Linked DNA regions of Diceros bicornis minor. The protein of the gene in region 2 binds, or shares a complex with, the protein of the main gene of each other region. Links are inferred from orthologs where the notes say so. Each region holds a gene or a part of one and is shown on either strand. Other genes may lie near its edges.

Evidence for each region.
Region 1: CDHR5 (region 2) and ANKS4B share a complex: the UniProt entries of both Homo sapiens proteins name them as parts of the IMAC/intermicrovillar adhesion complex. The link is inferred for Diceros bicornis minor from reciprocal best matches to the Homo sapiens genes CDHR5 and ANKS4B.

Annotation. Positions count from the first base shown.
Region 1 is NC_080765.1:30,103,441-30,115,984, reverse strand, and holds the start of ANKS4B (ankyrin repeat and SAM domain-containing protein 4B), read right to left. Parts: upstream 4,907-12,544; coding exon 4,743-4,906; intron 1-4,742. UniProt on the Homo sapiens protein: As part of the intermicrovillar adhesion complex/IMAC plays a role in epithelial brush border differentiation, controlling microvilli organization and length. Plays a role in assembly of the complex.
Region 2 is NC_080770.1:1,356,485-1,368,696, reverse strand, and holds the start of CDHR5 (cadherin-related family member 5), read right to left. Parts: upstream 6,297-12,212; 5' UTR 6,120-6,296; coding exon 6,062-6,119; intron 5,980-6,061; coding exon 5,804-5,979; intron 5,400-5,803; coding exon 5,349-5,399; intron 4,033-5,348; coding exon 3,940-4,032; intron 3,788-3,939; coding exon 3,686-3,787; intron 3,581-3,685; coding exon 3,470-3,580; intron 3,365-3,469; coding exon 3,194-3,364; intron 2,610-3,193; coding exon 2,519-2,609; intron 2,341-2,518; coding exon 2,246-2,340; intron 2,146-2,245; coding exon 1,945-2,145; intron 1,841-1,944; coding exon 1,727-1,840; intron 1,650-1,726; coding exon 1,559-1,649; intron 1,462-1,558; coding exon 1,144-1,461; intron 587-1,143; coding exon 378-586; intron 1-377. UniProt on the Homo sapiens protein: Intermicrovillar adhesion molecule that forms, via its extracellular domain, calcium-dependent heterophilic complexes with CDHR2 on adjacent microvilli. Thereby, controls the packing of microvilli at the apical membrane of epithelial cells.

The DNA.
Region 1 (12,544 bases), on a different chromosome or scaffold from region 2:
AACTCACACAATTGAACAACAAAAAAACAAACAACCCGATCAAAAAATGGGCAGAGGAAATGAACAGACACTTCTCCAAGGAAGATATACAGATGGCCAATAGGCACATGAAAAGATGCTCAACATCACTAATCATCAGGGAAATGCAAATCAAAACAACACTAAGATACCACCTCATGCCCGTTAGAATGGCTATAATCACCAAGACAAAAAACAACAAATGTTGGAGAGGATGTGGAGAAACAGGAACCCTCATACACAGCTGGTGGGAATGCAAATTGGTGCAGCCTCTATGGAAAACGGTATGGAGATTCCTCAAAGAATTAAAAATAGAGATGCCCTATGATCCAGCCATCCCACTACTGGGAATCTATCCAACGCACCTGAAATCAACAATCCAAAGAGGCTTATGCACCCCTATGTTCATTGCAGCATTATTCACCATAGCCAAGAAGTGGAAGCAACCTAAGTGTCCCTCGACTGACGATTGGATTAAGAAAATGTGGTATATATATACAATGGAATACTACTCAGCCATAAAAAAAGACAAAATCGTCCCATTTGCAACAACATGGATGGGCCTGGAGTGTATTAGGTTAAGTGAAATAAGCCAGAAAGAGAAAGACAAACACTGTATGATCTCACTCATATGTGGAATATGAACCAACACATGGACAGAGAAAACTGGACTGTGGTTACCCGGGAAGTGGGGGTGGGGGGTGGGCACAAGGGGTGAAGGGAGTCATATATGGGGTGATGGACAAACAAAAATGTACAACCCAAAATTTCACAATGTTAGAAACCATTAAAATATCAATAAAAATCAAAAAAAAAAAAAAATAATAGTGGCATGGATCTCTACCTTTAAGCACAAGTGGTCCATGATATATTGTTAAATAATTAGAAGCAGGTTTCAGAGCAGTTTATATAATATGATTGTCTTTTTAAGGAGTAAAAATGTACATGTGTGTGCATGTTCTCAAAGGAAAAAGGCTGGAAGGATATATACCCAAATGTTAAGGACTGGAAGAATTGGTGTGATTTTTACTTTATTAAATATATCTTTCCAATATGATATGAAATGTAACAATAAGTATTACTTTTCCTTTAAGAATCAGGGAGGAAGAAAATTTATTTCCATTTTAGAAAATGAAAGAAAATTTTAAATATCATGCACACATTAAAGGCAAAATGAAATTTTGTGTAATTGGGGGCATCTTCCCAGTGTAGGATAACACAAAGTAAATGCTTTCATATTTAAGTTTAAAATAGAAAAACAGTTTTTAACAAAGCCAGAGTTTGGATATTAATCATTACCACATGATTCATTGTCTCAATCAGGTAGTGACTGATAAACACTGCAATCATCAGACTGGAATGGACCTCAACAATTGATTAGTTTCTAGATTCAATTTTTACTGTGTTTCCCTTTTTAATTCCCTTCACTCTAATTGGCAATTTGATCTCACACAATTCCTAAAGATTGGCTGTGGTCAAAATGAGAGATGACCTAGGAAAACCCTCACAATACATTTTTTTTCAGCCTACACCAGGCCAACTTAATGTAACACATCTTAAATGCTTCTGGAAAGAAGGAAACAAAATCCGGGATGTACTAGAATCAGAAGACAAAAGTTGAGAAGGAAGGACTAGAAAGCGCAGGGTTAGAAGGATTTTGTGCCCATAGCCAATGTATAATAAATATAACTTAGCGGACTGGATTTTGATATTACATTGAGAAAAATTACTTTACTATGTCAGATAAATGGGAAAAGAGCGGACTATGTAACAAATTGTGTTGGGACAAATGACTAACCACTTGGAGAATGTATAGTAGATCATAACCTCAGACCTTAAATCAAAATAAATGATATATGAATTAAGTATTTAAAATAAAAAATGAAACTAAAAAAGTACTAAAGAAAATATCAGTCAATATTTAGGCATGACCTCAAAGTTAGAATTATATAGTAAAATTGACAGGCTTAAGTATAAAAATATATACACTTAAAAATATATACTTAAATATATTTATATTCTCATTTTTAAAATATAGATTGTCAAAAATATTAACCACGAATTGTGAAAATATTTGAAATATAATGAGAAAAAGCTTATATTCTAACTTTAAAAAACATGTTTTTATAAATCAACGAGAAATGTTGAAGATCCCAATGTAAAAGTGGGACAAGGCTATAAATACACAGTTCACAAACGTGAAAATACAATGGTCACTAAGCATGAAAAGAATTTTCAACCTCACTAGTAACCAAAGAAAAGAACATTAAAACCGCACTGATATTGGACCTTTATTTAGTACTGACAAAAATGGGTACTCACTATCTGAAGGGCAAGTTGTCAATACATACGCAAAAGTGCTCATGCCAATTGATCCAGAAATTTCACTTTGGAGAATTTATCCTCAAGAAAATGTGAGCAAAGATTTATGTATAAAAATATTCATCACAGCACAGTTTAAATTACAGGAAAGAAATTATTTGTGCAAAAGAGAGATTGACTAAGAACTATATATATATTGACTAGAATAGTAAGAAGTTCCTGAAAATTAAATTATAAAAGAATATGTGTTGACATGTAACAATGTTCATGATGTATTGAGTGGTTAAAAAAAAAAACAGCATGCTACCAAATTGCCTACTTAGGATACCATCTTTTTGTGTGTGTATAAATATATATGTAATATTTATATATTTATACACACTATATATATTATATATACAAAACATACAAATGTTAACAGTATGGCATTATAGGACATTTTTTCTTTATAATTTGTGTGCCTACATAAGATTTAATTTTCTGGGCTCAGCTTATGTTACTTTTGTCATAAAGACCAGCAGAACACTAAGTGTAAGAAAATGTTTCCGGCATACAAAGGAGACAGAGAGAGAAAAAATGTCTAGGCGTTGCCATTTAAATTGGACCTCAAAGGGAGCAAGGGCTTGCATTGGTTGTGAAGTACCTGATATCTTGCACTTGGTCAGAGGCGGTATACTTTGAGTGGATGAAGAAAGTTTTGGAAAAGGGGAGACATGCACAATATTACAATCAGGAGAAGGCTGACTGATGGGGGTGGGGATAGAAGGAGGTATCTGTGAAAAGGAAGTCAAATCAGGCAAAAGGAATGGAGAACATCAACCGCCACTCACTTCCTCATTCAGTTCTCAACTCAGGAAATCTCTCCACCTTTGGGTCTTCCTAAAGTGCCCCCCACTTCAGTAAAGGGTGCCAACAGTGACAAGCTGTCGAAGCCAGAAGCTGAGGCCTGGATCCTCCTCTTTCTTTATCTGCCCACCCCAACATCCAGTCAATCATAATCACTCCTACATCTGAACTGCCACTCAAATCCATCCACATCTCTCCATTCCCACTGCCACTACCCAAGTCCAGTTCATCTCTCATCTCAACCATTAAAATAGCCCCCAAACGTTTTCTCTGACTGCTATATAGCTGCCTGAGCAAATTTTGTAAACGCAAATTTACCAGGCAGCTCCCCTGTGTAAACCCATGACAATAGCTTCCCATGCCCTTAGGATAAAGTTCAACTCCTTAATAGAGTTTACAAGGCTCTTGTGATCTGGTCTTGTCTCTTACAACTTGACCTCTTGCCACTCAAGCCACATCCAGCCACACCCAACTTCTTCAGTGCCCAGAATGCACAGTGCTCTCACTTAGGGGAAACACCCTTCCCTCCATCTTCATCTGGCCAACTCCTTCTCACTTTTCACATCCCAGCTTAAACTCTCTGGAAAGCCTTCCCTCACCCCTTAGATCGGGATAGCTGCCTAGATGCTTGGGTTGTTTATTTAGTGTCCTCTCTTTCTCCCTTTGTAACACACATCATACATGACATATAATTTCTGCCTTCCTCTCTTAAATCTGATCACCATGAGGACGGAATTGTGTCTCTTTTGTTGATCATAGCATCCCCAGTGGCTAGCAAAATGGCTGGCACGTAGCAGATATATATATAAATATGTATATTTATATATATGTATAAATAAAGGTGTATTGAATTGAAATAAATTCACTTGGCACCTTTATTTACATTTTCTTTTTTTCTTTCTTTACCTCTCTTAGGTTCTAGTTGCCAATGCTGCCTAGCCCCCTCAGTAACAAGCAGAAGAAAAGAGCTAGCTAATTCCTGCATTAGAATTTAGGAGGAATGTGTGTGCATGTATGTATCTAACAGCCAGAGAGGTAATAAAGTTAAGACAGGCTGAAGGTTCCTTTCACAGCTTGTAAAGCCAGCAACTTCATCTAAGAATCATGGGCTTGTTCTAAGATTGAGTATTAATAAAAGGCTGTGGGATTTTAATGGCATAGATGAAAAAAATAAAATAAAAACACATCATTTGTTCCAATCAAGGTTGACATCTTAAAACCAAGTAGAACAGAGATCTGTTTTTAAGGAGTCAACCATTTACATTTCATAGAAAAGATCTTTAAAGGCACAGGATTAAAATATCTTCCCCTCAGTGCCTTAGAGTTCAGGATCTCTCTGCGTGTGGCTCATACCGGATGAGCCACCCCCATGGTGCCAGTTTTCACTAGGAAAAGAGAGAATCTCTAGGTGATTTTCTCCCTCTTTCTAAAAAGACAACTACTTAGACAGTCTAGAAAGAAGGCCAAGTATGTTCATTGACTTCCCTGCCTCTTGCTGCTGTCTGCCGAATCCTACTATAAACAGTTTCCAACTGAAACCCTCAGGTTGAACTTACCCTCTGCTGCAGATTATTTCTAGGGCTTCCAAGTTCCCATGGTAGGCTGCCAGTAGTGTGGGAGTCATGCCATCTTCATCAGAAAGATTCAGATCTCTCTTGGTAGCCTCTTTTAGAAGTTCCAGGTAGCTATCACTAGCAGCTTGGTGGTAGTGAGTGGACATTTTTTCCTGCTCGGCCAGATATCACTCTCTGAGCAGAGCAGGATGTTAGTGGAGCAGCCTTCCTACGAAGCTGGTTAATCAGTGACAAGGAAGAGTGTCACCCCAGGGCAAAGCTCATTCCAGCCTCCCTCCATGGATGGCAGCCAGAAAGGTTCACAGCACTGAACTTGGACCTTTTCTTTCTGGAATGGCCGTGACATTGAATATTGAGGACTGCTGTGTTCATCTTGAGTGTTTTGAGGCACATTTAATTTTTTAATGTCCATTAACAAGTCTTGAGTATAATATTGGTCATTTAGGCACAGAATGTAGAAAATAATTTCCAAACAATTCAAAACTAGTCTAGTTCACTGGGGAGGTTTGTTTTTTTAACTGCCTTTTTTAAGGTATAATTTACATACTATAAAATTCACCCATTTTAAGTGTGCAATTCAATGATCATTAGTAAATTTACAGAGTTGTGTAACCATCACCATAATTCCATTTTAGACATATCTATCACGCCAAAAATATCCCTCATGGTCATTTATAGTCAAACCCCATTCCCACTCCCAACTCCAGGAAACCACTAATCTGCTGTCTATCTCTACAGATTTGCTTTCTATGGGCATTTCATATAAATGGAATCATATAATATATAGTCTTTTGTGTCTAGCTTTTTTTCAGTCTCACATAATTTTTTGAGGTTCATCCATGCTATAGCAAGTAACAGTACTTCCTTTTTATTGCTGAATAATATTCTACTATGCTAATATACCAAATTTTCTTTATTCACTCAACAGTTGATGGACATTTGAATTGTTTCCAGAGTTTAGTTTTATGAATAATGCTGCTATGAACATTCACATACAAGTCTTTGTGTGGACATATATTTTCATGTCTTTTGGGAATATACCAAAGAGTGGAATTGCTGGGTTGTATGGCAATTTATATTTAACTTTTTTTTTTTTTGAGGAAGATCGGCCCTGAGTTAACATCTGCCAATCCTCCTCTCTTATTTTGCTGAGGAAGACTGGCCCTGGGCTAACATCCATGCCCATCTTCCTCCACTTTATATGGGACGCCACCACAGCATGGCTTGACAAGCGGTGAGTCGGTATGCGCCAGGATCCAAACCAGCGAACCCTGGGCTGCCGCAGCAGAGCACACGCACTTAACCCATTGTGCCACTGGGCCGGCCCCTATATTTAACTTTTTAAGAAACTGCCAAACTGTTTTCCAAAGTGGCTGTACCATTTTATATTCCCATCAGCAATGTATGATGGTTCAAATTTCTCCAAATCCTTGCAGCCTTTGTTGTCTATTTTTTTGCTTATGGCCATCCTAGTGGGTGTGAAGTGATATCATTGTGGTTTTAATTTGCATTTCCCTAATGACTAATGCTGTCAAGCACATTTTCATGTGCTTATTAGCCATTCTATCTTGTATTTAAATTCTTTGCCCACCTTTTCACTGGGTTGTCTTCATATTATTGAGTTATAAAAGTTCTTTATATATTCTGGATACAAATCCTTCTGAACTGAATGAAAACACAACATATCAAAATTTATAGGATACAGTTAAAACAGAACTGAGGAGGGAAATTTGCAGTTTTTAATGCCTGTATTAGAAAAGAAGAAAGATCTCAAATCAATAATTTAAACTTTCACCTTAAGTAAAGAAGGAACAGCATGGAAAAATTAGTGTAAATAAAGATCACAATATAAGACCAAAAACATGGTCCAAATCTATCTGTAATCAAAATAAATGTAAATGGACCAAACTTACCAGTTAGAAGACTCAGCCATGTCTTATTTACAATGGACACATCTAAAATATAAAATTGCAGAAAGACTGAAAGCAAAAAATGGAAAGGTTGGGGGCCAGCCCGGTGGCGTAATGGTTAAGTTCAGCATGCTCTGCTTTGGCAGCCCAGGTTTGGATCCCAGGTGCAGACCTTCACCGCTCATCAAGCCATGCTGTGGCAGCAACCCACAAACAAAATAGAGAAATACGGGCATAGACGTTAGCTCAGGGCCACTCCTCTTCAAGCAAAAAGAGGAAGATTGGCAACAGGTGTTAGCTCAGAGCCAATCTTCCCCAACAAAAAAAAAAAAAAGGAAAGGTTATATTGAGCAAATACTAACAAAAAATTGGTATAGCTATATTTATACCAAAATATAGTTTAAGCCAAAAAAAATTACTGGGAATAGAGATCATACATAATGATGAAAGGAAAAATTCATCAAGAAAATATGATAGTCCTAAACTTTTATATACCTAATACATAGCCCCAAAATAGAGAAAACAAAAATTAATAGAATTTAAAGAGAAAGAACAAATCCACAATCATAGTGGGAGATTTTAATATACCCCCTAAATGTTATATGTCAATGAGACTAAAGATTAGTAAAGATATAAAAGATTTGAACACAATTAAAAAGTTTGATCTAACAATCCTATACAGAACCCTGCACTCAATAGAAAATGCATGCTCTTTGCAAACACACAGAGAAGATTTATAAAAATTATCCACCTAATAGAACCGGTTAGTGCAGGCCTCAACAAATAGGTTTCATGCAGACCATGTTCTCTGAAGGCATTGCAATAAAATTAGAACCCATCACCCTTACACAACTGATGCACTATTTATATAGTCTCTTGTGGTGTATTTTTTACATAGTTTTCATCACAAATACATACCATTTTATATTGTGTCTTTTCCTCTCTTTAGTCTACCACGAACATTTCCCATATTGTTACAAAATCCTTAATATGTTTGGATAATATTCCACAGAATTGATGTGAGGAAGGTCTATTTTCAAAGTCTTTAACTGTTTATTCCTATTATCTCTTTTTTTCCAAGTCTTTATTCCAAGATAAATTATTTGCCCATTCTGAAAAAGTACAAGGCTTCCATTTGCAGTTTCCTCAAAAAATTAGCTCCAAGGATCAATGTTTGTTCCTTTTCCTGGTTTCTATGAAAACACCAGTAGAAGCTATAGAAACAACTCGGAGGGAAGCATTATTTAGTGGCAAAAAAAAAATTTTTTTTAGCCCAAAGAGAGTAAAATATCCAAACATCATTGTGGGTACTTTGAGAACAAGGTAACATTCTTCCTCAATTAATTTTTTAAAAAGCCACTTTAATTTAGACACAGTTGCATTCATTAATGCACTCTTAAACAGAAAATCATATATAACTTGAGAGAGGGCTTCTCAAAGATGGATTAATTGTAGTAGAATGCCAAGTGTCAGACAAGGAGTCTTCTACTGGATGAAGATGATGGTGGTGATGATAATGATAACGATAGCAGTGATGAGGGGAAAGAGAATGATAGGGATGAGGATGGAAGCAAAGGAGAAGGAGGACAGAGCAATTATAGAGAAGAGGAAGAAGGGTTGGAAATGGAGGACAAGGAGGAGAACGAGGAGTTTCTCAACTCCAGTGGTACTTACGACTTAGATTTAAACTCTCCTGTGAAATGGTAAAACATCTGAACTTTTTTTTTTTTCTTAATGGTAAGGATCCTGACATCCTCTGGCCATTTCCTTGAGAAAACTTCTTCCTTGAAATAAGAATGGATGGGGAAGGAGAGGAGAAGCAGAAACAAATCCTTCTGAATTTGAAGATCCTCCCTACCCCATCCCTTCAAGAAGAGGTTGAGAAAGAGGATTGAACTTGGAGCTAGAAGACCTAGAGTCCATATGATCTGGGGCAAGTTACTCCATCTATTTGAGTCTCCATTTCTTTGTGAATAAAATTGGGGGATATTGCTTATGATCATGTCATCATCACCTAAGCTTACAGTAGTGAAGATGAATGAGATAAAATTCCTTACAAACTATAAAGTATGGTTTTACAAACTGGAAGTAGTGCGATTGTGGCTTAGGGAGGAGAAAGAGAGAGAGTGAGCACTATAGCGCGATAATTGGTGTATTTTCTTATTCCTCGAAGCCCAAAGGAAGCAAAATTGGCAGGAGATATTGAGGGCAGAGATTAATGAAAATAACTAACACAGATTTGCATATAATGTAGACACTAGTTCCTTGTGAGGAGTCTGGAAAATTGTGGGGCAATTGTGGATTTTGACTGTATGTTCTGACTGTATTGGTCTTACGGAAACAAGTATTTGAGTCTGTTCCAACAGCATGCTGCTGGAGTCTTGGAAGGTCAGAGAAGAATATCTGTCATGCACGATAGTGGAGAGACTTTGAAGATCAGACTTAAGGAGCAAAGACCCTCCCCTGGATTGTTCTATTACTTAGCAAGTCAAGGCCCTCATCAACCTTCTTTTGGAACCAACCCTGCCCCCCACACCTCCCTACATTCCTGTAATATTCGTATAGCCTTAGGGAAACATCCTGCCAGTGATTTCTTTGTCCCTCTGGCTGCCACTTAGGTTCAGAGGGGTAAGCTTCTTTCCCTTCTTTGTTTTCCTAAAACTCTAGAAACTCAACTTATTCCCTGGCACATCAGGTAATATTTAACTACTTCACTTTGAGAGGCCCTTCTGCCCAGACACCATTTCTTTTTGCCAATGACCCGGAGAAAACAGGGTTAATCAGCCCCCAGAGGCAGCACTTGGAAAGATCCTCCCACCAATGAGTCTCCTCCTCCCCATAGAGCAATGGCATTTTCAACTCTTCATTGTTGTGTTTATAATTTTTCGGCCTCTTCTGCCTCAATAGCAGCTACCTGACAGCTGGGTGGTCTAAACAGGTGTCCCATCTACCATGGAGTCTATCCTGGCTGGGAGAAAGTAGCACTTGGATGGAGAATTTACCTAGGACTCTGACCTATCTATAATAAACAAAGTCCTATGTGTTTCTTTCTCAGAGAGAGGAAAAGAAGGGACAAAGATTAGCGGTAGTTGATACTTCCAGTCTACCCCAAGAAAAACCAATGCCAGCAAAGTAGAAACCAAACTGCTCCCTTTTTGTTCTGAAAAACCCTTCACTGCTAATTGGGAAAGAAATTCAACAGCTTTTGCAGCCCAGAAACACATATTTTTATTAATGAGATTGCCCCCTGCACTCCAAGAGCTCTGGCTTTCAAAAGCAGACAGTATTTGTTCTCCAAAGCTATTCATGTCTAATTACAGAGGAAATTCACTTGTATGGTAGGGAAGCACATTTTCAAATAATAAGAAAAAAGAAAAGATCCAAGAAGAACATTTGCTTTTAACAAGATTACTTCATCTAATGAGTATCTTATTATGAATTTTAATGAAAATAAAGGCAATAACAGAAAGCAAAGGAAGTTAAAGCGATTACAAAAGTCCTGTTGTTACACAGAAAACTTACAGGAATCAGGCGAGGGCAGAACAAGGCATTGTTAACACACTACTGCTATGTTTGCTGAGCTTGGCTTTATGAGAAACATGTCTGTTGAGGTAAAGACATTTTCAAATGTATTATCTAGAAAATGTCACTTAGACATGAATTTTTTTCTCTTTAGCACAGTAATAAAACTCTTCAAACTATTTGATGGCGATTTTTCCTATTCAAAAGAGATTTCGATCCCCTGTTTCTCATTTAAACATATATATCACTCTTAAAATACAAAGAAACTTTCTTTCCCACACTGAAGGTCATTGGTGTTGTTTTCCTTAGACACTGTTAAATACAAACATGAAGCAATCAAAGGAACCATTGTCTGCCCTTTTGTTTTCTCTTCTCCAAATGAAAACATTTATGAAAATATTTAGGTGGGTGAGTTGACTATTGAAATTGTAGTGTCCCTGATGTATGGATTGGGCTTAATTTATTCATATAAGTTTCAAGCCATTCAAAGCCCTATTTTTTCTGCCAGAAAAATAGACAGAGCTGTTATTGTACCATCTGGTTTTCATGAGAAATCTCTTGGCATCTCTTAACTGCACATTTTATAAATGCTAAATCCCAGATGGTGTTGTAATAGTGGAAAGTTTTATAAAGGTTTCCAAAAAGAAATTCTTTAAAATGTGAACACTGGATAGTCTGAATAGGGGCTATGAACTTAAATTCTACACTTGAATCAGCTGGCTTTGTTAGCTGGACAAATTTCCTTTTTTCTTAGGCCTTTTCCCCTTGCTAATTAGTTACTGGTTCTGTGAACTGAAGGCTTCAACCAATATAATCACATGACCTGAGTCCTCACCCAAAGCTTAAGTTCTATAAAAACTGCAGGAATAATGATGACTGGAAAACCTATACCAGCTGCCATTTTGTTTCAAGATGGCAGAATTTGCCACAAGGGAGGTGTGTTAGAGCACCCTTTAGCAGATCACCAAATACCATCAAAACTATTCAACTCTCTCAAAGCTGATAGTTGGACTGGAAAGACAGGCAAATGTGAATGTGAATGCCAATTGTGTTGAAATCAAGCCATAGTACAGTAATCGTTCAGAACACAGGTTCTTAAGTCAGAGACTGACAGATATTAAACCAGAAATCAGACCCTGCCGTTTATGTGGGCAAATTACTTCTTTCTGAGTCTCGGTTTCCTCATCAGTAAAATGAAAAGAATACTTTTCCAGTTATTATTCACAGGGACATTGCAAGTAATTACTAAGTTAATATTTGTAAAATGCTTAGCACAATGTGTGGTGCGTAGTCAGTACTCAATGAATGTAAATCAGTAGTAGTTCTAAAAGTACAAGTAAAGTAGAAATTGTAGTACTAGTAGCAGAAAGGTAGAAAGTCTCTCCCTTCTTTAGTGCAAGCGTAGATGTGTAATTACTGCCCTTTCTTAAGCCTTCTTCTCTTCAATTTTTTTTCTCAATAACAACAACAACAACAGCTGGGATCTGGGTTTTCATGGTCTTAGCCCTTATCATGGTACAGAAAAGAGAATATATAGTTTATAGTCACACAGAGTTGTATTTCAACCTGGGAATTTGTTTTCATTTTCTAGGGCTGCCATAACCAAGTACCTCAAACTACGTGGCTTAAACAACAGAAATTTACAACTTCCTCACAGTTCTGGAAGCTCGAAGTCCGAGTTCAAGGTGTCGGCAGGGTTGGTTTCTTCTGAGGGCCGTGAGGGAACGATCTGTTCCAGGCCTCTCTCCTTGGCTGTAAAAGGCCATCTTCCTCCTGGTCTTTACATTGTCTTCCCTCTGTATATGTCTATGTCCAAATTTCCTCTTCTTATAAGGACACTAGTAATACTCTATTAGGGCCCACCCTAATAACCTCATTTTAAGTTAATCACCTCTGTAAAGACCCTAACTCCAATTAGGGTTACATTCTGAGGTACTGAGGATTAGGATTTCAACATGAGTTGGGGGGAGGGGGCACATTCAGCCCATAGAGCTTTCTACTTCATAGCTATCAACTGGGGGGAAATTCACCTCAAGGAACCTTCATTTCCTTTTCTTATTCCTACCTTGAAGGTTTATGCACCAGTGTACGGGACCTGTACCCAGTGAGCCTTAATAAAACTTTACTTCCTCCTTCCTAGAGAGACTCATCAAATTGTTACCAAAACCAAAGTGGGTTCACCTCCTGGCGAGTTAAATTAGACTCTCCACCAGAAGTAGTTGTCACACAAAGTAAGGTATATTTGCAGCAAATAGGAGACCATGTGGAATCATTTCCAAATTCATAGCTCTCCCCGAGCAAAGGGAAGCAGGGACCTTTTATTTTAGACGGGGAATGAATATTCAAAAGGGA
Region 2 (12,212 bases):
CTATGGTGTCTACACCCCATCTCTCCTCACCTCTGCTCTCCATCTCCCCACTGATGGCTGATTCCTGGTCTCCTGCTGCCTCTCCACCTCCCCTTCTATCTCCCCCTTCTTCACCTCCCCTGCTCCCTGCATCTCCCCCCTTCCTGCATCTCCTGGCGCCTTCCATCTGCTCCTCCCTCTATCTACCCCTCTCTCCATCTACCCCTTCCCTCCATCTACCCTCTTCCTCCGTCCTCCACTCCATCTTTCCGTTGCTCTCTGTTCTCACTCTCACGTCCCTGTCTCTTGGTCTTTCTCCACCTCTGTCTGTCTATCCGTCTCCTCTTCTGTCTCTCGTCTGTCCCTCTCCTGTGCTGTCCAGCCGCCCGGGGCCTCACCAGAGCTTTGCTAGCACAGGACTTGCATAGGTGGCCGTAGTGCTTGTAGCCGAGGATGGTGAGGGCGATCAGAGCTAGCAGCAGCAGCGCGCCCAGCACACCGCCCACGGCTGCCATCTCCGCTGTCGAGAAGCGCCGGTCCCCAGCGTGGCTGCCATCCGGCCCGACACCCCCCGTGGAGGTGCTGCCTCCTCCAATCCCGGGCGTGCCTGCTGGTGACACCACTGCCCACTTGCTGTCGGCACTACAAGCGCTCACCAGCTCAGCCTGTACCAGCTCAGAACTCCCCGAGTAGAAGCCAGCCTGGCCGCCTCCCGGAGTGAGGGTTCTGGAGAGTGGGCAGTACTGACGCCCCCCCAAGGAGCTGTATTCCCAGGGTCCCCCAGGGAGGCCAGACTGCTGAAGGGAAGGAGGGGGGTGGGGGTCAGTGCCCCCCAGCCCCAGGTGGGAGGAAGGGGTCCAACACCACAGGAAGGGAGATGAGGGCAGCACTGATGCCGGTGGAGTGGACGGCCCTGGGAAGTGTGGGGTTCGCTGAAGCCAACGTGTGGCCTCTGCCCTGCCCTCCACTCACCTTTCCCGGTTTACCTCCTCAGGGCCCCCAGGACCTGTCTGTCTCTGCCCAGAAAGAGCAGACCCCGTCTTGGGATCTCATGGTCATTCTGGGCCAACCTGGGGCGGACCCTGCCCTCCGGTGACTCCCAGGACCACCCAAGTCATGAGTCAGGGAGCATGAGGGTGACTCTAGGGCAAATGGGGGTGCTACCTGAGGGCTGGGGGGTCCTGCTGAGCCCAGGGGCTGTTGGCTGCGAGATTCCTGGCTTCTGAGTCTGTGCTGAGCCCCCGCTGGGTGAGGCTGATGGAGGGGAGGTGCTGGTTCCCGCACTGGGGGGCCCCCCAGGCGTGGTCGAGGCAGGCGGCCTCAGAGTTGTGCCTGGGGGGGAGTGTGGGCCAGTGTCCCCCCCAGCGCTGGTCGTGGAGGGTCCCTGAGAGGGCCCGGAGGGCCTGGGGGTTTCTGAAGTGGTGCTGCTTGAGGGCCCAGCTGTTCCTCCAGCCTCTGGGGATGTGGAAGGACCTGGGGGGTCTGGGGCCAGGCACAGGGCTCAGCTTGCCTCTGCCCCCAGCATGCCTGTGGCAAGAAGCCCCCCCCGAGCCATCACCGGGGACCCCTGGAGGCTCACCTGTGGGGGTGGGGGTGGGCTCCTGTTCTGACACCTGTATCTCCACCAGTGTGGTCGCTGTGCCTCCAGTCGCTGTGTTCGTGGCCTCGACCTGGGGCAGGAAGGGGGCTTGTCTCACCTAGGCCCCGCCTTAACTCCCACCCCTTAGAGATGCCACAGGCCCCTCACCTCTGCGTAGAAGACCCCCGCCTGCGTCAGTGGGTTGGCCACCAGCACGGCCTCCCCTTCCATTCGGAAGTCGGAGTTGTTGGTGATTCGGTACGTGATGGCCGAGTTGAGGTCCTGGACACGGCCCCAGTGAGTCCTGGACCCAGGCTGCCCCCGTATCCCCCCAACCCACCCACAGAAGGGAGGCCAGGCAGACCCAGGGGCCAGGCGGTGCCTACTGGGAACTCGGGGTCCTGGGCCTGGATCCTCAGAGCCTGGGAGGGGGTGGCTGCGTCCTTGACGAACTCGCCGCTTCCTGAGCCCAGCACCACGGTGCCGCGGTACAGGCTCTCGGGGAAGTGGGGCAGGCTCCCAGCAGCGTCTAGGGCCTCCACTGTGACCTGGGTCACCGAGTAGCGGGCCTGGTCTGCCTGCTCCCCCTGGGGGTGGGGAGGCGGCAGTGGTCAGTGGGCCCTCGAAGGGCAACCCTGCAACCTGAAGCTCAGGAGGGGCCCATGGAGACCCGGCCAAGGCACCTACCTTGACCCACATAAGAAAGGTCTTGGGGCTGGGGACGCTCCGGGTCATGGTGAGGTTGCCCGAGTCAGCGTCAATGGTGAATATGTCCTCGTGTCCTGGGAGGACGGGGGTAATATTTGGCCCTGGTCCCCTCTGGAGGCCTGAGGTCCAGGGTCCCAGCTGGCTCTGCCCATGTGGCCGGTCCCCCTGGGGCTTCCTCTGCCCACAGTGGGGGTGGGGATGGGGCCGAGGTGTTGTATGGAGAGAGAAGCTGGGGACCCGGTCCCCACTCACCCCCTATAATGCTATAGATGATACGCTGGTTGATGGCCCTGTCCCCGTCCACAGCGTAGATGGGCCCTGGATGCAGGATGAGGGGAGACAGCTGCGGGAACGGGGATGGGAGGGGACTCTGTGGGGCTGGTGCAAGGGCCCAGCTCGGTCCCTCTCATTCTCCCTCAAGGAGGCCTGAGATGGCCCCTGGGCGGGCCTGCCAGAGGTGTCCAAGTGGCCGACAGGATCAGTCATCACGCCCCTTAGATCCGTCACCATGAATCAGTTTGCCCCAGGATATGGATGGATCTGAACAACACGTCTCCAGAGGCAGCCCACACAGGGCCCCGGACTGGGCCTCTCGCATACAAGGGGAGGCCCTGGAGGCCCCACTGCCTCAGTGCGCCCCATGGCGCCAGCGGGTACAGCCAGCCTGTCAGAGATCAGCTGCCTCTCGGGAGCACCATCGCGGCCCATCCAGTCCTCCCGGTGTCCCAACCGCCTCATGGGGCCCCCGGCCCTGCCCTGAGGACAGTGGGCCTGTTCCCCTCACTGAGTTTGTTCACTGCTCACGCCCACGGGCTGGGCGAGATTGGTTTACGAAGGAGAGTCCACATTTGTTTGACAGTCACAACCGAATTTGGCCCGGTGGCACCAGCCCCCACCCCCAGCGCCGGCCCTCCCTGTCCCCGGTACCAGTTGGTAGCCGGTGGGGACAGCCCCCTGGTACTGGGCTTCGATGCAGACGTAAGAGTCTGTGTAGGAGCAGGGCAGGAACCAGGGGGGCCGCAGATCGATGGGCTCCACCTCCAGGACCAGGGTGGCCGTGGCCGTGTGGCTGGGTGTCACGTTCTCTTCCCGTGTATCCTACAACAGCCAAGACCCTCGGATCAGGTCTGGGAGCCTGGGGGTGGCGGCAGCTCGGATGGGGACCCGCGCGTCCAGGACTCGGGGTGGGTGTGGCCTGCTCACCCGCACCAGCAGCCGGAAGGTCATGTTCGGCCACCTGTCAAGGTCCAGTGTCCGGTCCAGCTGCAGGGCAGGGAGGTTCACTCCCACCAAGGAGAAGAAGACACTGGCACCCTGAGGAGGTGGGGAGGCCTCAGCCTGAGACTCTGGGGGCTGCAGAGAGGCAGGGGCGCCCAAGGTGGAGGGGTCTGAGTTGGGGCAGGGATTGGGGGCACTGACCGGGGTCACTTCCTCGAGGGTGTAAAACAAGATGTCATTTTTGTCCAGGTCCTCGGCCTGCAGTTCCGTCTCTGGGATGACGGTAGTGTTCACTTTAGCGTTCTGGGGGACAGGGGGGTTGGTCTGGCCACACTCCTCACCCCCATGGCCAACACATCCGGCCACTAGCCCTCTGCCGTCTGGCCCCTCACCCCAGCTCCCGATGGCCCAGTGCCAGCCCAGATGCCACGGCCCCTGGCTTCCTTCACACTCACCTCGGGTACCCTCTCCACCCTGACCACAAAGGGGAACGTGGGTGCATTGTCATTGACGTCCAGCACAGACACGAACACCCTCAGCTGGGTCACCTGGGGGGACGGGAGGTGGTCAGCCTCCTCACCTGGTGCCCACCCCAGCCGCCCTGGCTCACCCTGGGTGCTAGAGTGCCCGGGGGCTCCTGCTCAGGAGGGGTTACAGACAACGAACAAGAAGGAATTTGTAAAGCACAGAAGGTGGTGAGTGCCCTGGAGAAAATAACTCAGCTCCTGGGGACACAACCAGCAAAATCCCAGACGCGGAAAACGGCAAAACCATCCAATTTCTTCAAACGTAGATCTCAAAGGAAAAAGGAGAGAGAAAGGGGACCAGCAGACGGAAAAAGACTTAAGAGAAACTCAAGCAGCCGCATCAGGCGGACCCTGCTTGGATCTTGGTTCAAACAAGCATCAGTCAAGACCCGTCTGCGACCTGGGGGCAGGATTCAGACGCTGGAGGTCACGCGATGCCCGCCGTCCCAGTTTCCTCAGTGTCACAGCAGTGTCCTGATGATGTTTCAGAGGAAGGGTCCTTATCTTTCAGAGAGTCATCCTGAGACATTTGTGGGTGGCGTGCTGTGATGTGGGGGTGGGGGCGCCCACGGGGCTCGCTGCTGAGCAGGCAGGTGCGTGGGGCAGGCGGTCAGGGTGCCTCTCCGAGGAGGGCATGGGCGAGTGAGGACCGGAGATGGTGAGAGAGGGAGGCAGGTGCGCATCTGGGAGAGGGCACAAGGCCGCCGAAGCTGGGCGTTGGGTCCCTGCGCCCGGCCTTGCCCACCCCGGCAGTGCATTTGGCTTTGACCCGGAGTGAGAAAGCAGCCATGAGAGGAAGTCCTGGGCAGGACGTGCGGCTTGCTTTACTGGATCTTCTTCTGCCATATGGAGAGTGGATTGGGGTAGGCGGAGCCAAGAGGGGAGCAGGTGAACTAGTTGGAAGGTTCCAGAAAGGAGATGCTGGTGGCCAAGGCCCAAGTGGGGCATGGAGGTGGGGAGGGTCTAGCTTGAGGCAGATCCAACAGATTTGCTGATAGAGGGACGTGGCGGGGGGGAGGTGAGGACCTAGCCCTCAGGGTGGGGCATCTCCACCGTGCGGGACCTCGGGTTGGGGGCCTCTATTGGGGGTATGATGTTGGCTGGGCTGGGTTTGAGGGTCTGGGGCTCAGGGCAGAGTCTGGGCTGGAGGAACTGTGGGTGTCACCAGCACAGGGTGACACTTGACAATACACCACTGGGTGAGGTCACCAGGGAGTGACCCTGGACCGGGCAGAGCAGAGGGCAGAGGTCCAAGCCCAGAGCGTTCTGACGTCACAGGGTAAGAGTATGACGTGGGGGGATGCCCAGGAGGTCGGGGGTGTGGGGGCAGGACTCACCACGGTGTCACCCCTTTTGCACTCCAGGAGTGCCTGCAGCAGTGAGTTCTCCTGTGGGGGTGGGCAGGTGTCAGGAATCACCTGCCTGGCTGGCCACAGCACAGCGTCCCCACTTCACAGGTGAGGAGACTGAGGCCGAGGGGGCAGGTGCTCGCCCAGGGTCCCCATCATCCATGCTAAGCCCAGAGGGAGCTGGGGGCCGAGGCAGCTTTGTCACCCCAGGGCCCCGCCCCCCTCAGGCCAGCCCTCTGCCAAGCCTTGGGGCCCCGGAGGGGTCAGTCAGTCCCTGCCTGAGGGGCGCAGAGCCCTCAGGACCCCTGGGCAAACTGACACCCAAAGGCCCCCAGAGAGCCCTTCTCCGGGAGGGAGGGTGGGTGTCCACTTGGGTCCCGTGGGGGGTCAGCCGCCCCAGCCACCCCCACGGGCATGCCCCACGGGGGGCCTGCCAGCCACACCTCATAATCAGGAGTCACGTTGAGAAACAGCTGGGTCCCTTGGATCCGAAATGCGAAGAGGGTGGACGAGGATCCGAGGGTCACCTGCTGGTCGTCGGGGACGTAGATATCCACCAGGGGCTCGGTGACATTCGTGTTCTCCTTGACTTCAAAGAAGGTCTGGTTCACAGAGCAGACTAGAAAGTTGGAGAGGAAGGGTCGGTACCGCCCAGCCCCATGCCTGCCCCCCAGCCCCACCCGCCACGGCCCTGAAGGTACCCTGGGCCTGGGCTGTGCCCACGAGCAGCAGTGGCAGCAGCAGGGCCCAAGCCCCCATCTCGGCGGCCGACAGCCGCAGGAGGGTCTGTGCTGGTTCGGTGTCCAGGACCCTCTGGGCAGCCGGCCGCCGCTGGCGCAGTCCCTGCCTGGGCGACCTTCGCCCCTGCCAGGCACCGCCCCACTTTATGATCCTTTACGACCGACTGGCCTCCACCAAGGGGGCTCCCGCCGGCCGCAGGCCAGGCCTAGCCCACTGGCAGGAGGGGGCCGCCTGGTGGTTCCCCGGGCCGGAGCTGGGCTCAACCCACAGACACCAAGACAAGAGACAGAAAGGAGCTCAGAGAGAGCCGCTGGGGCACCGAGGGGCTGGGGGAGGGAGCTGGGGAGCTGGAGGGGCTGGGGGAGGGCCCAGGGCTGGGAGGGGGCTGGGGAGGGGCAGGGGCTGGGGGAGGATGGGGGTTGGGGGAGGGGCTGGGGAGGGGGCAGGCTGGGGGAGGGGTGGGGGCTGGGCCCTGGCTCCTGTGTTTGCTGTGCCTCCCCTCGGCCCCAGCTGCCCCTCTGCTGGGCTGTTCTGCCAGAGTCATCTTGGGGCACGTTCAGACCCCGTGTTCCCATCCAGCTCACCTCCTCTCCCCGCACCCACCATCTAGGTCTGGAAAGAAAAGGTTGTTTGTGTCCTGGGGATACCCCTGCCTGTCCCGGAAACAAGCCGGATTCCTCCTGGTGGGGCTGGGCAGGGCCACAGTGATGGAGGTGGCAGTGTTTCAGGGGACACCTGGGGCTCCCGGGTCCCCGCGGGCTCTGGTGCCTGACAGAGAGGGACCCCAATGAGGCTCGTTGGCCCAGGCCCGCAACTGCCCTACCTCATCTTTCCTTGGCCTGCCAAATCCCAGCAGCTGGAGAGAGGCCACTGGGAGGGGTCAGGAGGGAGGGAAGGGGCTGCCATGATGGGGGGGCCTTCCCGCCTGTTTGCATCGAGGCTCTAAGGGCCTGAAACACCTTCCCGAAGCTCCTGGTATCCAACTGCCCCTGCTGGCAGTGCCTCCACGGCCTCCTGCACACCCAGCACCTCTAGGGGTGTCATCATCGTCCCTGCCCCACAGGCTCAGAGTGGTCAAGCCGCTCGTCTGAGACCACACGGCCTGGACAGGGAGCCAAGACACACACTAGAGTCCTCTCACTCAGAGTGGCCTCCTGGGGGACACCCCTCCACCCCCCTGCCATCTCTTCCTGCCTGCCCTGAGCTTACTTGCCCCCTCCAACTCCCCCCCCACCTGCTGCACACACTGACCACCTGGCCCCGGGGGCAGGAGCTGGGAGACGTCCTGAGTCCCCCCACAGAGCCCCTGAATGTCAGTGAGTGGATGACAGGGGTGCAGGTGGGCCCTGGGGAGCTCAGTGGATGGGACAGGAGGTGGCGCTGATGTCAGAGGTAGGACACGGGAGGGTGAGGCGCCCCACTGGTTTCCCAGGTTTAAAGGGCAGCGGGCGTGGCTGCAGTCCCAGAATCCGAGGATGGGGCCCTCCTCCCCCGACAGCCCTGCACCACAGAGGCTGCCTGACGGTACCCAAAGCACACAGAGTGGGGTCACAGGCCAGGGTCCGAATTCCTCCTTTATTGGTGCCAAATGCAATCCCCCCGGCCCCCCACCCCTCCCGGTCCAGGCTCCGCTCCCCTTGTGCGTGGAGACAGGCTCCTTGGTCCTCAGGGCCTCATCCAGTCCTCTCAGCAGCAGGGATGCCCGGCTCTGAAACCATGACCCCAGGTCTCCATCCAGGAGGCAGCTAAGGAGACCTGGCCTGAGCCAGGGGGGCACTCGGGGGCATCCTGCAGAGACAGCCCGGTTAGAGGCTGGGGACTTGAAGCTGGAGACTGTGCCCACCTGCTGAAGCTGGGCCTCCTTTGGTCACCCACCCTGACTCAGCCTCACCTCCCCCGGCCCCTGGCCCCTGCTGTGTCCACTTCCTGCTGTTGGCCCAGGGTGCCCCAGGCCCCAGAGGGAGGGTCTAGGGGGGTACCCTCCGGAGGGGGCAGGGGGCTAGTGGTGCTCACCAGGCCTGCAGGGTGGGCGTGTCCGGCCGGCCGGGGCAGGCAGAGGCGGCCCTCGGCCGAAGTGTTCCAGGTGGTGGTGTTCTCTGGGTCATGCTCGCTGCCCCCACCCCAAATCAGAGTTAGTCCGGGAGTTGGGGGGTTGGGAGCGGCGCCGCGTGCCGGGCCGTCCCACCTGAGCGCCCCCCACCAAAGGTCTCCGCGCTCACCTGCGCTTGCCCACCAGGCCCTGGAGCAGCCGCTGCAGACGCGCGCTCTCCCGCAGGCGGCTCAGCTCGCTCGTGAACATCCCATCCGAGTGTCGCCGGGCCCTGGGGAGGGGGATGGCGGGCCGCGCGGGCAGGATCAGGGCCAGGCCAGGGATGGGGCGCGGACGCGGGGTCGGGCCGAGGTGGGCCGGGGGGGCGGGCGTGGGCCCCGGGGCCGCGGGCTCACCTGCGGGGCGCGGGGAGCGCGGCGGAGCCCCCGAGTAGCAGCGGCGGCAGCAGCAGCAGCAGCAGCAGGGCCCGGGGGACCATGGTGGGCGCGGGGTGCTGAGCGCTGCTGCCGCGGCCGAGCCCCGCGGCCCCTTTATAGCGGCGCCCCAGGGCGGAGGGTGCCGGGGGCGCTCAGCACCGCCCCGGCTCCGCGCAGCCCCGGCCGCGCCCCATCGATCGCGCGGAAGGTCAGGGCCGCCCCCCCAGCTGTCGCCCCGGCTGGCCGCCCGCCCCCTCCGCCGCGGCGGCGCCCCTCAGCGGGCTGGGGGGCTCGGCCGGGCGGGCCTGCGCGGGTCGGGGGGCCCCGGGAGGGAGGAGGGACACCCGGCGGAGGAACAGCGCGTGCAAAGCCTCGGAGCCTCGACCGCGCGCGCTTTGGAGGCACGAGCAGAGCCTGCGGGGGACGCCGTTGGGGGCTGGCCAGCTCTGCAAGGGGGGGCGGCAGAGGGGCCGAGCGCACCGGAGGAGGGCTCCGGAGGGTCGGGGGCGACGACCGAAGGCTCCCAGGGGCCGCGAGGGTCGAGGCTGGGACGAAGGAGGAGGCGCCCGGTGGCGCGGAAGCCCCTGGAGAGGCCCCGGCGGGCGGCGCGGAAGCGGAGGCCGGGCTGCGGGTGAGGCGGTGGGCGCGGAGGTGGGCAGGGGAGTAGGAGGTGTAGATGCGGCGGGAGGAGGGAAAATGGGGAGGCTGCTGGGTTCCTCCTGCGTGATCAATGCGGGGTTAGGTCAAGTTAGGGTTTTTAGAAACTGTACTCATGAAGTCCTTAATCATAAATTATAAATCCAGTAAATGAAGTGGTAAACTCATGGTTCTTGTGTTACACTTTATATGCATTTTTGTGTGTGTGAGGAAGATCAGCCCTGAACTAACATTCGGTGCCAATCCTCCTCTTTTTGCCGAGGAAGATTTGCCCTGGGCTAACATCCGTGGCAATCTTCCTCTGCTTTATATGGGACGCCACCACAGCATGGCTTGACAAGCGGTGCGTTAGGTCCGTGCCCAGGATCCGGGCCTGCGAACCCCGGGCCGGCCAGGCGGAGTGGGTGCGCTTAACTGCTGCCCCACAAGGCTGGTCCCTTTACATGTATTTTTAAAAAACACACATGCGCCGCGCCTCCCCATTCCTAACATCTTGCATTATCATGGGACATTTGTTACAGTTGGTGAACCAATATTGACACATTATTATTAACTAAATCCACAATCTACATCAGGGTTCACCCTCAGTGTTGTCCATTCCACGGATTTGGACAAATGCATAAGGACACTTTCCACCACACAGAGCAGTTTCACTGCCCTGAAGACCCCCTGCTCCTCTGGTTCATCTCTCCCTCCATCTCTCTCTCCGCCAGCCCCTGATCCTTCTACCGTCTCTGTGGTTTTCTCTTTTCCAGAACGTCGCGTAGTTGCAATCATACAGTAGTGGCCTTTTCAGACTGGCTTCTTTCGCTTAGTAAGGTGCATTTGTTTCCTCCACGTCTTTTCATGGCTTGATAGTTCATTTCTCCTCCTCACTGAATAATACTGCATCATCTGGATGTCCGCAGTTTGTTTATCCATTCATAGACTGAAGAACATCTTGGTTGCTTCCAGGTTTGGGCAAGTATGAATAAAGCTGCTGTAAACATCCATGTGCAGGTCTTAGTGTAGACATAAGTTTTCAGCTCCTTTGGTAAATACCAAGGAGTATGATTGCTGAATAGCATGGAAAGTAGGTCTAGTTTGGTAAGAAACCGCCAAACTGTCTTCCAAAGTGGCTGCACCATTTTGCTTTCCCGCCGGCTGTGAATGAGCGTTCCTGTTGCTCTGTGTCCTCGCAGCCTTTGGTGATGTCAGTGTTCTGGATTTTGGCCATTCTAATAGGTGTGTAAGGGTATCTCAGAGTTGTTTTCTTTATATGTATTTTTAAACAGCTGCTATGGCCTGTTCTTGCACAAACTTGGCGGATTAAAATCCCCTAAACTTTAACACTATTGACCAATTAAGCATTGGAGCATATTCCAAACTCCAAGTACTCACTTAACTGGTGGGATTTCTTAGCGCATCAGACACTTAAGTAACCAGGCAGATCTCCATAAGAAAAATCTTCCTATTTAAAAAAAAAAAAAAATTAACATGCAGTAAAATTGACTTCTTAAAAATTAACATACAGTGAAATTAACATACAGTAAAAAATGAATTTTGACACATGGATAGATTCGTGTAGCAATCACCACAATCAGGGTACAGAAAGACTCCATCACCCCAAAGAACTCCCTCCTGCTGCCCCTTTGTGGTCACAGGCACGGCCCTGAGCGCCTTCGGTCAAGCTTCGTGAGGTCACAAGCAGTCACTAGCACAGAGGGACAGACCCAGGGTGAGGCCAGTTCTGAGTGAAAGAAGTGGGTGGTGCTGAGGCCAAGGAGGGGCGGGCTGTGTCCTGCAGGTTCCTGTCACAGAGGATTTTGTAACTGCCTTCATCTTGTCCGAAACGGCTGTCACCCATTGTCTCTGCTGCTCGGAATTTCTCCCGAGACAGCCCCTGGCCTTGTCCTCACACGCCCATTCCATGGCTGCCTCAAGCATGCAGCGGTCATGCTGCAGTGCCGACAGGTTGGAATGGAATGTCCAGGTCTTTCCAGTGTGGATGGAGACGCACCACTAGGAGAGTGTCCACCCAAACTGTACCCGGATGGGCAGCTGTACCCGGGAAAGGGATGCCCCAAGGAGTCTCGGCTGCGCACACGCTGGCCTCCCGGGTTTGGGCTCCACTTTGAAACAACATGTGATACAAGCTACAGCGACAACATGCCACTTTCAAGCCATAGAGTTCAGCAAGACCCCATGGGTTCCCGGGCCATCAGGCTGAGCTGAGTCCTCATTAGAAACGCACAGAAAATTCACCTTACATGAGTAACTATTCGAAGGCTCAGATCGGACCTCACTCTGTGTTAATGGCCAATTTCAGGGTCCAGGATTCTAAGAAAGAATAAGAAGCTTCCTTTCTCCAGAGCCGAACGCCGGAGGGGCACGTCCTGAGCACACACGCGAGTTTATCGCCACAACAGCTTCATTCTCCGAAGAAGCAAAGCGTGGAAGATATTCTCTACTCCTTTTTTTCGTTTTAACCAAGATTTAAATGTCAAATTAAAGTTAATTGTATCTATGCTTAGTCCTACATTAGGGGTGTTGGAGGAGGGCACTGAAAAGAATTATTTCCTCAAATCTACAATCCTGCCTTCCATCCTCCCTGGAGCCAAAAATCCAGCCTGACTTAGGTTAGCTCGGGCTGGATGCTTTCAGGGTACGAGCCCGGGACTCACATGGATACGGTGCAAAGTCACTGTGACCTTAGCGAGCATCCCCTCCTAAGAACTAGAAGAAGGAAAAGATTGTGTTATTATTATTTATGCTTTTATTATTATAGAAAATTTAAACATACAAAAGCAGACAGGATGGTGTGATGAACTCCCAAGTACCATTACCCAGCTTCCCCAACTTAGGACCAAGCTCATCTACCCCTATCCACTTTCTCTGTTTTTTTCAAATTAATTTTGGAGCAGATCTCAAAAATTGTATCGTTTCATCCTTAAGGATGTCAGTATATAGTTCCAAAAGATAAGGACGGTCAATTGTCGACTCCCCTGC